4 linked regions of the Saccharomyces cerevisiae S288C genome follow. The gene in region 1 interacts genetically with each later gene. Each region holds a gene or a part of one and is shown on either strand. Other genes may lie near its edges.

The links.
Region 2: mutations in CAL4 (region 1) and YER079W together harm fitness more than expected from each alone (negative genetic interaction), as found in Saccharomyces cerevisiae (one large-scale study listed by BioGRID).
Region 3: mutations in CAL4 (region 1) and CSE1 together harm fitness more than expected from each alone (negative genetic interaction), as found in Saccharomyces cerevisiae (one large-scale study listed by BioGRID).
Region 4: mutations in CAL4 (region 1) and YNL042W-B together harm fitness more than expected from each alone (negative genetic interaction), as found in Saccharomyces cerevisiae (one large-scale study listed by BioGRID).

Annotation. Positions count from the first base shown.
Region 1 is NC_001142.9:458,141-461,363, forward strand, and holds CAL4 (Cal4p), read right to left. Parts: upstream 1,287-3,223; coding exon 501-1,286; downstream 1-500. Other genes in the region: signal peptidase complex subunit SPC1, read right to left, coding at 1-221; YJR012C (uncharacterized protein), read right to left, coding at 1,655-2,053; GPI14 (glycosylphosphatidylinositol-alpha 1,4 mannosyltransferase I), read left to right, coding at 2,242-3,223.
Region 2 is NC_001137.3:317,344-320,058, reverse strand, and holds YER079W (uncharacterized protein), read right to left. Parts: upstream 1,140-2,715; coding exon 507-1,139; downstream 1-506. Other genes in the region: AIM9 (Aim9p), read right to left, coding at 1-96; YER078W-A (uncharacterized protein), read right to left, coding at 1,249-1,413; ICP55 (aminopeptidase), read left to right, coding at 1,717-2,715.
Region 3 is NC_001139.9:47,978-53,009, reverse strand, and holds CSE1 (importin-alpha export receptor), read right to left. Parts: upstream 3,459-5,032; coding exon 576-3,458; downstream 1-575. Other genes in the region: transcription activator HAP2, read left to right, coding at 1-279; anaphase promoting complex subunit DOC1, read right to left, coding at 3,645-4,397; karyopherin KAP114, read right to left, coding at 4,551-5,032. UniProt on the Saccharomyces cerevisiae protein: Export receptor for importin alpha (SRP1). Mediates importin-alpha re-export from the nucleus to the cytoplasm after import substrates have been released into the nucleoplasm.
Region 4 is NC_001146.8:545,254-547,926, reverse strand, and holds YNL042W-B (uncharacterized protein), read right to left. Parts: upstream 815-2,673; coding exon 557-814; downstream 1-556. Other genes in the region: YIP3 (Yip3p), read right to left, coding at 2,050-2,556, 2,636-2,659.

The sequences.
Region 1 (3,223 bases):
TACCATGGGTAAGCTGGCAAAACACATATTAAAGTAATCACACAACTAATGCCATACGCAGTCAGTAAAACTTTCAGGGACTGTTGTGCAAATCCCAATATACACGCTACCAAAGCTCCGATCATGAGCGATAGCTGTTGAAATTTTTCTGTTTTCCGTTGGCTGGGAAAATCTATTGGAAAAACCAGTTTCCTTTGTACATCTTGTAATATCTCAGACATTGAAGTTGACTATGACGTGACGTTGATCTTGTTTGAGTATTGCTTGACCAATCCTGGAGTAACTTCGTTTAATCTGCCTCGTTTTTTTCTCTAAATAGTTTCTATTATCCCTCCTCCACGCGAGATGTATTTAAAATGTGAAAAGTGTACACATGGCGTTCATCTTACGTAGATGAGAGAAACGCTAAGAAGCCAACCAAACTAGTATAATCTATACATTTATAGATGTTTGTGTAGAACCTTATTTTTATACTCTTGTATTATATTACATTACTTGCATTAAACCGTCATTTCACCAATAATTTGGTCCTTTAGCCAATTAACATATCTGATGAATGGTTCACCCTTGCTAACATCAATAACACTATCGTTCGTAGCTTTTCTATATATATTAATCAGGCCCTTATCCTTAGAGAGCTCGTTAAATAGTTTACAATTCAAAAGATCTAACTGAAACTTCCAAATGGGTAACAATTCATTCTGTAACACATTAACTAAGATCTTCATCTGTAAATCGTTCATCTGTGACTGTTGTTTACTCATAGGGATCTTGTTCAAAAATTTGTAGAGATTAACGAATCCTGATAAACAATTTTGCATTTGTAATATAAATTCATCTTTAAAATCGACATTTAATCTGTTTAATTCCTGGAAAATATACCTGTTCACTCCATAAATGGAGGTGACTAGAACCTTCTCGATCAAATGCCGGCATTTTCCAGGAGTTTCAAAGTGATCTAACTCACAACTATCCAATAATAAGCGGAATCCTGTCCTTAAATCGTAAATTAGTTCACAAATATCACTCTTTAGTGCAAGGAGTTCTTTTTTGTGTGAAATAAATGTGCCAGAATGGTTTAATACTTCGTCTTCCTGCTTTTGAGCCAGATAATACAAGACATACATTAGATCCGTCATATAATGTGAAGTATTCAGAATAAACGGCACTATTTGATTCAGCAGTATAACATTTTTCTTGTTGTTTTCGGATATTCCGTCATTGAGCAAAAGTTTGGTTTGTAAAGACGAAACTGTACTTTCATTAGATTCTCGTGTTTCACTCATACGCCTTTATATGCTATCACAGTTACCTTATTTGTCCTTTTTCTTGTAGAGCTATTCTCTATTCTGCTTTGACTTAACTAGCGTGAAATTAAAACCAACGCCGCTTATCTAATCACAATAAAAGATCAGACTGTGAAATTAATAAAAAGGAAAGGATAAAACGACAGATATCGCACTAACTTTGTTAGAAACATTATGCAGACAAAAGAAGGAGATGCATGTGCCTTTGTATTCTTTTAAACGCAAAAAGGGCAGGTCTATGATTAAGTATGAATGAGCGATATAAAATTTAAGTAGAAAAGGGAAGATAATAGTACTATATATAAATATATAAATGCATTTTTTTACATACCTGTTGGGTGAATAATTTACCTAGCTGTTGGATTTGCTGTTACTGTATTATTGTCGTCATCATTGCCATCGCCTTTATTGTTATCATTGTTATTGTCATCATTATCGTTGTCACTGTCATTAATCTGTAACTTAGACTGTATATCGTAACATTCAGACAGCCTTGTTAATGAGGTCATGCCTTCTAGGCTTTCTTGATCAATGTCCAGAGATATATTGGGTTTGTCTAATGATCCTTGATGAGATTGATGCTGCAGCTGACCTTCCCAAGGCCTAGGTCTTGGCCTCAATGAAGGAGTACTAGCTAAACCCTCATCCAGCGTAACATTGGGCACCTCCACAATATTAGGTATAGGCTTGTTATTCAGAATGTGATCCAGCAACTCTTCATAACTAAGTTCACCACCTGCTGCCATGCTTGACTCGTTATGTTCGCAATCAATTTTCAAGAGGTAAACCGAAACATGTGGAGCTCTTTTACAGGCTCCGATAATAATAAAAGAAACTTTAATAGTTGGTAAGAACTTGACAAAAAAAAACACAATATATATACATAAAAAAGTCAACAACTGACAAGCAAGGTAAAAGGTGATAAAGTTGAAAGATGACTGGCGAAGAATGGGGCTTGACTGTACTGTCATTCTTGGTAAGAGTCGGATTTTTTCTTTTTGGCATTTACCAGGACGCTAATTTCAAAGTGAGGTACACTGATATCGACTATTTTGTGTTTCATGATGCTGCTAAATATGTATACGAAGGCAAATCACCTTATGCAAGGGATACATATCGTTACACACCGCTACTAAGTTGGCTGCTAGTGCCTAATCATTATTTTGGATGGTTTCATTTGGGGAAGGTCATATTTGTTATTTTCGATTTGGTTACTGGGCTCATTATAATGAAGCTTTTGAACCAGGCCATCTCCAGAAAAAGAGCTTTAATATTGGAAAGCATTTGGCTATTGAATCCGATGGTTATCACCATCAGTACAAGGGGAAACGCTGAAAGCGTGCTTTGCTGTTTGATCATGTTCACGCTTTTTTTTCTACAAAAGAGTAGATACACCCTAGCTGGAATCTTATATGGTCTTTCTATCCATTTCAAAATATATCCAATCATATATTGTATCCCAATAGCAATTTTTATATACTACAATAAAAGAAACCAGGGTCCACGAACACAACTTACATCGCTACTCAATATCGGTTTGAGTACTCTAACAACTTTGCTTGGATGTGGTTGGGCAATGTACAAGATATACGGATACGAGTTTCTGGATCAGGCATACTTGTACCACTTATACAGAACGGATCACAGACACAATTTTTCAGTGTGGAACATGCTATTGTATTTAGATTCTGCAAATAAGGAAAATGGTGAGTCCAATCTCTCAAGGTACGCATTTGTGCCTCAATTGCTGCTTGTTTTAGTAACTGGATGTCTTGAATGGTGGAATCCCACATTCGATAACCTATTGAGGGTTTTATTTGTGCAGACGTTCGCATTTGTGACATATAATAAAGTGTGCACATCGCAATATTTTGTTTGGTACCTGATCTTTCTACCATTTTACCTCTCAAGAACGC
Region 2 (2,715 bases), on another chromosome or scaffold:
GGTGGCGGCGACGGTGATACATTTAATTGCACCCACTCTTTTCGAAGCTCCTACTACACACCTTCTGGAATGGCCAGCAACAGTGTACCTAATCATGCTTGGTCTTCGTATTGCTGTCTTGCTTGCTAAACAGCTTTTGCTACTTCTTCTTCGCTGATGAGAAAAGGGAGTCTACTAAATACAGTTCGGCTTAAAGTGTCGCTGGTCAGCAATCGGCCCGAAAATACATTGAACATTTGAAATTACCATGTTTCAAAACGAATATTTATTATAATTATTACTAGTAAAAGTTATACATAAGAAGGGAATAATACAAAGAAACGGGAAACAGCTAAATGTAGTATATAGCCGAAAGATGTGGACATATCCCAACAAATCGTCTTATGAGATCCTTTTTTTGTTTTATATTTTTTTTTTTTAGCGGGTATAAACGTATCATTTATATATTTTATTCTTTCCTTTAACTCTCAAAATTTGAGCAATTAGGTTACTGTGGTTCACGTGATTCAAGTGTGCACATTGCTGCTATGCTTTGTAGTATTATCCATAGAGTTTAGGGAGGGGGAATGGTCGGAGAGTGGGTAATTTGCATTGTCTAATGGAGCAGAATCAGCGTTACTTTTCTGGAAATAAAACTGGTCCGATAACGAAGTAGTAGAATCAGAGGTGAGATTGGAGTTGGAAGTGGTGTTGAGTTTGTAAAACTTTTCGGTTTGATCATGCGATACCTTGTATTTGTCATCCTTGTCATTCTTCTTTTTTTTGTTCTTCTTTTTGTTCTTAGGGTCTACCATATTGCTAGTCTTCGGGGTAGGAGACTTTGTTCCATTATTGTGATCATATTGTTTTCGAACCATGGAATTCAATAAATTAAGTGAATATTTCGGAATCCCATCTCTTTTGACATTAATCCCCTGAATACCATCCTTCGTGGCAATCATGGAGGCACCTGATGTGATGGAGCAACCTGAGTTCGTTCTCGTTATCCTATCTTCACCAGAGGCAATATTGGAAGGGCTCATTGATCTCTGATCTAAGTCCAGGTTAGTAGACCTGTTATTAGTGTAAATGGACTGATCATAGAGAGAGATGGCAGATGCAACATCTTTTGAGCTTATTGAATGTGATGAATCAGGCATTATTAACTATTCGCTTCCTTTTCTTATCTCAGCAGTTTGTGTTTTTTATTCTTATTGTTATTATCCCTTTTAACTATATATGCATAAGCTAAGTTAAATATTAAAATATTTATATATAAACGTTACAGGGCGTGTGAACACATTTGAAAAAATGCTGGAAGGTAATGGTAGATATAAGAATTGGAATAACAGGTTGATAGAGAATCGCCAAGCTAGAGAGTTCTGACAAGCGGCAAGGGGGAAGGATGAGACGCAGATACGAAAGCCGCACCATTAAACCGTAAAGAGAGAAAAATAAAGAATGACTTATTTCTCGGAAAGGCCAAATGCAATTATGCAACACGCACACATTCACACTCACACTCACACATAAACTTTGACTGAAACCAAAACTGTTGTGAGTAATAGCCTTTCTTGTTCATAAAATAGTACAAGATACAGTAAATATATATCAACTCACCTGGTATAGGGATCACTTACTGCACTGCAAAAGTGGATCGTTTGCGCAAGAAACTCCACCAATTCTAAAGAATATAATAGAAAAAGCTAATAGGAAAAGTGGTCATTTTCTGTTGATATGTTACATAGGATAAACCCAGTACGGTTTTCTATGCAATCTTGCCAAAGATACTTCTCGAAGTTGGTATCGCCATTGGAACAGCATAAAAGTAATACTTTTACTAATAGAGTCAGAATCCCCATTGAGGCAGGCCAACCACTGCATGAGACAAGGCCGTTCCTTATAAAGTCGGGCGAGTTGACACCAGGCATTTCAGCCTTGGAATACTATGAAAGAAGAATTAGGTTGGCGGAAACATTGCCTCCCAAAAGTTGTGTGATTTTAGCTGGTAACGATATCCAATTTGCATCTGGAGCAGTATTTTATCCGTTCCAACAGGAAAATGACCTGTTTTATCTTAGTGGTTGGAATGAACCTAATTCGGTCATGATTTTAGAAAAGCCAACGGATAGTTTAAGTGATACAATTTTCCACATGCTGGTTCCGCCAAAGGATGCGTTTGCTGAAAAGTGGGAAGGATTTAGGTCTGGGGTTTATGGTGTTCAAGAAATTTTCAATGCCGATGAATCTGCTTCCATTAACGATTTGTCTAAATATTTGCCCAAAATAATTAACAGGAATGATTTCATCTATTTTGATATGCTATCAACTTCTAATCCCAGTTCGTCCAATTTTAAACACATCAAGAGCCTGTTAGATGGCAGTGGGAATAGCAATCGATCATTGAATTCCATTGCGAATAAGACCATCAAACCCATCAGTAAAAGAATTGCAGAGTTCCGTAAGATCAAGTCCCCTCAAGAGTTGAGAATTATGAGGAGAGCTGGCCAAATATCAGGAAGATCGTTCAATCAAGCCTTTGCTAAAAGATTTAGGAATGAGAGAACTTTAGATTCCTTTCTTCATTACAAGTTTATATCCGGTGGTTGCGATAAGGACGCATATATCCCCGTGGTCGCTACTGGTTCGAATTCTTTGTGTATCCATTACACAAGAAACGATGATGTGATGTTTGACGACGAAATGGTTCTTGTAGACGCTGCTGGCTCCTTGGGT
Region 3 (5,032 bases), on another chromosome or scaffold:
AGGCGATATGCAAGAGCTAAACTAGAGGAAAAGCTACGAATATCAAGAGAACGAAAGCCATACTTACACGAATCTCGACATAAACATGCGATGCGAAGACCTCGTGGTGAAGGTGGGAGGTTCTTGACAGCCGCTGAGATCAAAGCCATGAAATCGAAGAAAAGTGGGGCTAGCGATGATCCTGACGATAGTCATGAGGATAAAAAAATCACTACTAAAATAATACAAGAACAGCCGCATGCTACTTCCACCGCAGCTGCAGCAGACAAAAAAACATAATTTTGTAATATTCCAATGTTAATATCATTCCTAAAAGAACTAAAAGTGCCCTCTTATACCACATGGTATCCATATGGCCTATTTAATCTGAATCAATATGTATATGTACTTTTACCAATCTCGTTTCGTTTCGTTTCGTTTCATTTCTAACAGACCTATGTACTCCGCTGGAAAAGAAACCATATTGCGATCGTATTTACGTGCTTTTCTTTTTTCATTTTTGCTTACTCTATCTACATATAAACAGCTATTCAAAAGAGCTCCATTTTCATCTATATATAATTCTCTACACCATGTTAATTACCAACTAATAATTGATTTAATTTTACTTGATTTTCTTGGGTCAATTGAGGCAAAATGGTATTTAAAAATGTATTCCCAGAGATAGCATTATATTTGTTTAGTGCTTCAGCAACATATAATCTCACACCATTATTGACATCGATTTCAGGCAAAGGATCGAATGGTTTTTCGCTAATACTAACCAACTTACTGAAATGAGAACCAAACGTGGAGATTTCCTCCAAGTTATCTAAATCAACATAATCGTTTTTCAAGTTTGCAATACTTTGTGATGATGCTGTCTCTATAATGGAATTCATTGTGCTTGAAATCAAAGTTGGATATTTGCTTTGGAAAAATTGGCCGTTTATAACCATGTTCAAAACACCAATTAATGCAATTTTACGATCTAGCAGGTTACCAATAGTAGGTAATGTGGTAATAATAAAATTACCCCATATTTGTTGAAAAAGCCCATCTTGCACTTCGTCAATAAAGTGGATCAAAAAATCAGAGCCTAATTTATTAGATATCAAACCAAAAAATACCGTTAATTTTTTAACATACCTTTCTGTTTTAGAGTTCTGTAATCTTTGTAATAATAAAACTGCGATTTGTTTAATATATGGTCTCAAGCGGTTCATGTCGATTAGAAGCATGATGTGCTCTAATAAGTCAAACCCATGAACTTCATAAGCCTTTGATGCGATCAATCTTTGAAAAATACCTAAAACAGGGACTAGATCGGGGAAGATCGATGAATCTGTCTTTATAAAACTCTTTAGTAGCCTTGTCACGGCAGGAATATTACCTTTCAATTCCCATACATTTGGTGCTAATAAAGGTTGTGCCAACGGCTTGATACTTTCTGGAATTGTTGCAGACTGCTCAACAACAAATGCGATGATTTGGAACACATATGGAATGAATTCTTGAATATCCTCGGAGAAAACCGTTAAAAATGTTGGCATCATAGAATCTACAAGTAGTGGTAAGTTTTGTCTTTGAGTGTAATTCAAGATGGCACCAATAGATTCAAAAGTGTAATGAGTAAATCTTGGATTTGATGGGTTCTTTGCCATTATCGTTACAATTTCAATAAATTGTGCCAACAACTGAGGAAATAAAGGTTGAATGGAATCTTCTGACGTCTGCAAAACTCTAAAGATTGATCTCATTAAAAATTCGTTTTCAGCTAGTTTTTCAGGGGAGCTGCCATGCTTCAAGATTAATGCAATAAGATTTTTCAAAAGAATTTCTGTACTATTCGAAATATCTTCCTTATGAAAAATAAAAGCAGGAGACGTATTTGATTCTCTAATAGTCAAAATTTTTTCAATAGTAATGGCAGCATACGTGTAGACAACATATTCATCTGTTTGTAAGAAGGTGGCCAAAATGGGCATTAGTTCAATCAACTGAGCTTTGGTCAACTGATTTCTGAAAGTGTAGATATATTTTATGGCATCCACTCTCAAAATAATATGAGGAATATTGTTGGAAGTAAGGTCCGGGGCAATTTCCTTGGTGAAAAAATCTACAACATTTAGTAAGTTGTTTGTGGATGAAACACCGGCATTGGTAATATTCCCATTAATGGCCAATGCAGTGAATAGATAAATATAAAGATCTTTAAATTTCCAATTTTTGGATGGATCACTCATGTACTGGTCAACGAACCCTTTCATATGCGCCAAAAAAATATTTGTGACTAACACTTCATTTTTTTCCTTCAATTCCTTCAAGAAATCAGTACATGCCCTTCTTCTAGTGTCGGTATCTGAACCTTCCAGATCTCTACGGATATATTCAATTGGATCGTCTTCAAAAAGTTCAACATCTTCCTCACGTAGTGTAACATTTGGCAGAATGATTTGTTCTGTGATATTATTCATGGCAGATTCGTTGTTGAATATTTCAAAGTATTTTGGAATACGTGTTACTGCAGTCAAAAATGACAAGGACTTGGATACTAAGATGTCGTATTTAGGTTGGTTTGAAATTGAGGTCAGAAGATTCCAAGTTATTTGTATGAATTCATTGATCATAGGTCCAAAGACATCTTCATATCTTGTTGTGTACAATTGAACCAGCTCCTGGATAGAGGACTTTACTTTTATTAGGACAGACGCATGTTCAGTTTCGTCAGGGTCTTCCAATAAAGGATTAGAATATGACAAATACTTATGGAAGATACCCATACCCACTTGAATGTTATCCTCAAAAAACTCTGGTATATCTTGACAATTAAAATCGTAGTATAGTTTAATTAATACTAGCAATACATCAAATAAAATATTTAGCGATGCCTTGTTATTTTCATTCGCTGTTATCTGTTCATCGACCGTTTTCAATAAGTTCAAAAATGGAGCAGTAAACACGTCAAGAACCAATTTAATCTCCAAAAAAAGTTCATCTGATCTAAATAAAGGTCTCCATCTTTTAAAAATAGAATGTGCCACTGTAAGGACACCTTTATTCGTCACCATATCATCATTACTCAATCTGGAAGCTAAATCACTCAAAAGTGTAGGCCACCTATCAGGAAAATCAGAGTCAGCAATACTGGAAATTGCCTCTCCTATTTGGACCTGCAAATTATTTGGTAGACTGATCATTAAAGGAACGATTTCCTTTTTGATCAGTTCTACGTTGTTAGCCGGCAGCAAATGATTACCATTTTCATCTACCCACTTGCGCTTGATGAAATTTTTGAAGAACAAAGCACCTGCTAATCTGGTGGATAACGGCAGGTTTGTGGAAGCAATAACGTGCAATAAAGTTAAACCGAATCCATCTTGCGTCTCCAACTGCCTCAAATTTCTTTCCGAAGTTTTAGCGGTAGAAGCAATAACTGATTCGGCCAGAAATTTAGCTACGGTTTCCAAATCGGACATCCTACTATTTTCTCTTCTACAATTGAGTAGCAATAAACAGAGCGGGTCCTCTTTGCCACTTTTTGATCTTGTGTTTATACTACTTTCAACTTTTTTTTTATTCCATAATCCCTGCAATTGAAGTGAAAAAAAAAAAGCAAAAGGCAGGGTAATAGCAAGGAAGAAAATATCATAAACGGCATATTATTAACGTAATATAGCATCCTGGAAGACATTGTTAGTTTCTGGGAGGGTCTGTGCCCACTCATGGGTATCTTGATGTGGCTCATTAGATGGAACATATAGCCTTATGCCTCTCAGATGTGTATCTTTTCCGTTTTCATGGTTGACTGGAAACAAAAGCCTGATGAATTGACATTTCAGCAGCTGGTCGTCCTCCCTATTATCTAGAAACCTTAGTGCCACCCAGCCATTCACATTTCTCACTTCAAGCATCTTATAAAACCTCGCATCAGAAGGACTATGCCCCGCGTAAACTTTCACTAAGCTTGGAGCATAGGACTCGTCCGCAATCATCGAAAAGAATATTGCCATGACACAGATGTCCATTCTCTTACTAAACATAATGTCCAATTGGTGTGGTTGCCCTCCATCGCTCTGCCAAAACGTATCGTAGTTATCATCTAGAGCAAAGTCCACAGGATTCCCCAACTTAAAAGAAGAAGGCTTCCAAAGCGCTAAATGTGTCACGTTGATCATCCTTGCCGAATCCAATATTTCAATACCTTGGTGGAACATATGTTGCAAGTTCTCCGGTGTAGGATTCTGATACTGAATCTCTTCTTGGAACCCATTCACGTAGAGATCTTTGGTTGCCGCATCCACAATCCTGTCATCCAACACCAACACTGAAGGTTTATTATGGCAACTCTTAACAGGTTTGATAAGCTCTGAGGGTGCTAAATGGTCCAAGACTTTGTTTATTCCAATCGGGTCCATTATCTGACTTCTAAATCTCGTATTATTTTTGCCACCTTCTGTGGTCAGTTTATTTAACACTTTCTTTCTTTTATATAGACGGCGCTTATTTTGCCGCATTTTTTCTACTCTAACTACTTTACATCTGATATCTCCACGGCTTATGTATATAAGCTACAAAAGGGCTTCTGAAAGAACTTTACGTTCACTGTCGGATAGAGTCTCGTAAATACAATGGAAGCCACTCACATCTTTGCTTGCAACCTCTTTAAAGAATCTTACCAGTAGCTGAACAACAGATTCCTTCACGTCCATGAGTCCCGTTATATCGTCTGAATCGTCGTCTGCTTCTTCATCGACATCATCATCAATATATTCTTTCAACTTATCGTAATCGAGTACATCATCTACATCTTCCCAATCATCATTGTCGTCATCTTTATTAGCATTTACCACTTCTTGCTTAATATCGCTTGTGATCAATTGTTCTGGATTCGGTTGTTTACTTTGGAAGCTTAACTCAGAAACAAACAATTTAATGATCTTGGTATAAAGTGGAACTTGTACATACCTGTCTGGCATTTTCTTAGCCATTGATCTTGTAATGATCAGGTCCCCTTCGTATGGTATCAAGTTACCATTGACAACCACTTTCT
Region 4 (2,673 bases), on another chromosome or scaffold:
TTTTTAAAAAAGCCAATACTGCATTTGCAGCTTACTGAAGAGGCCAAAAGAAACAAGGCTTGATGATAGTCAGTAATCTTCCTCTGGACCTCTTCGCCGAGTTCTTCGAGAAGTTCCCAATAAGGTAATCGAAACGAGAGAAAAAAAGACGAGCAAAAAATTTTCTCAATTTGCCTACTTTTAAGGGTTCGGAGAGGAAGGTTTATTTGTAAATCATGACATTATTGGGCGAAGCGTAAGTGGCTTTGAAGAAGAGGAATAGCTACTCGACCAAAACTTGAAGATACTATCATACCCAACTTGGAGCGCTCAGTGACTAGTCTGCCTTTAGTGCTGTCCTGCCTCCCGTCATGCCAAGAGCCGTACTCTCCCCTTAAGGGCTGCTATTTTTTTCCGGTAGGTGTTCGGAATCCCCTTTCGAGAAAAGTAATTAATCCGAGAATTCCTTATATTTCTTACCAGAAATAGTAAGCGAAAAGGACGTTGAACTATAGCAGATCAGCGCGTCTTCATAATCCCAGAAGGAGGCGGGAAGAACAACCCCCCCCATATAGTTTTACTGGTCTCCTTTCAATCTGTTTGTTCTGAACCTACTTTCATTCTTTTGGCAGATATATGTTGCAACACGTACATAGAGTGAGTTTACTTCTTTCAGCTTGGAGAAGCATGAGAGGTTAGGTTGATTGATGCTAAACAAAAAAATTCCGCCCTGATGGTGAAAAAAGATAACGGGGCGAGCTGGGAATTGAACCCAGGGCCTCTCGCATGCTTTGTCTTCCTGTTTAGGCAGGAAGTCGCCCAAAGCGAGAATCATACCACTAGACCACACGCCCGATTATTTCGTGTGGTTGTTGTATTACGGGCTCGAGTAATACCGGAGTGTCTTGACAATCCTAATATAAACAGTCTTAGGGAAGTAACCAGTTGTCAAAACGGTTTATCAGATTAATTCACGGAATGTTACTTATCTTATATATTATATAAAATATGAATCATACTAAGTGGTGGAAGCGCGGAATCTCGGATCTAAACTAATTGTTCAGGCATTTATACTTTGGGTAGTTCAGCTAGGGAAGGTCGGGTTTTGTCTCATGTTGTTCGTTTTGTTATAAGGTTGTTTCATATGTGTTTTATGAACGTTCAGGGTGACGTATTGTCATACTGACATATCTCATTTTGAGATACAACAGTGGTTGTGTCATGAAGTTAGTCAATACTAGCCGTCTTAACAATATTAATACCTGTCAGAAGAGCAGCTTGATTGACGGAATGTTACTTATCCCATATAATCTATATAGGATCTAAATCTGACTAAAGGGTGGAAGCATAGATCTTCGGAGCTAAACTGATTGCTCAACTATTTATACGTTTAGGTTCATCAAGGCAACCGGGGCTTTGAAAATACTTAATCTTGTTTTTTTCGCAACAACTGTTTCATACGTGTTTCATACGTCTTGTACGTTTAGGTTGATGAATCTGGTGATGCAGGGGTATTTCATTTTGAAGTGTAGTAGAGGTCTTCTAATGAAAACTCGGCAGGGCCCTAAGCTCAAACTCTACCTCATCTACGTTGACCCTTTTTACCTTCTAGATGCCATCAGTTGTTAATAGTAGTAATGGAATACGATTTGCCAATCAATCTTACAATCGCATATAATTCGTCACTGTTGAATATCTGCGACGTACACCATCTAATCACTTCGCTTAGTCGATATAACCATTTGTTTGAAAAGATGAATTGATTCTAATCTTGCCTCTCTCGGGTTATGTTATTATTATTTTTACGTTTTGGCACGTGAATCTTCAGTAATTGATTGCACGCTTGATAAACGAAAAAAACATAAACAAATAAGGTAAGACTGCATTGTAAATCCTAGGAATGAGAAAGAACAGAGAAGCTAACTGCAATTATGAATGGTGTCTGTATACAATTAAATACTAATGTTGACGGAGAAAGAGAATAAAAGACAAGAATTAACTAAATATTGAAGAAGAGTAAAATACACAATAGAAAAGAATGACTCCTTTTCCCAACACTTGTAGGAGTGTTCAAACAGTTTCTTCATCAAATACAGTTTCGATGGGTTTTTCCATCAATGATGCATGTCCGAAAACGCTGACGGCAGAAGCACCGATCAACCATAGCAAAGTTGAGATTGGCGAAGCTAAGAAACCTATTGGCACAGCAACACAAACCAGTCCGGTGTATAGTTGGTTGGTCTTGAAAGAACCAAATGGAGTTACGAGCTCCTCACCCTTTAGTTTGTTTATACCAACAATACCAGCTACGACTAGAACAATAACAAAGAGTAGCAACAAGTTTGTTAATAATGTGTAAATGCTCAAACAACCAATAATCAAACCATAGTTACTGGAAAAGTACTTCAGGTTATACGCCACTCTGGATTGAACTTCCCCAAAGTTTTGAGGTTTGGAAATTTTCTTGAAATTGAAAAATTCTTGCGGGGTGCGAAGGGTTGCTAATTTAGATTGCAAGGATTGGAACTCGCTCTTAATATTTTCCATGGAGAAGTTTTGAGTGAAACGTGAAACTTGCTATAGAAATATAGAAAAAAGGTTAACGCGTTAGTATAGTTTTTCAATGATGCAAATGTGTTTACAATTTAGAACTTACGGCTAAAGCTCCTAACTGATTCATTATTGGAGTATTTG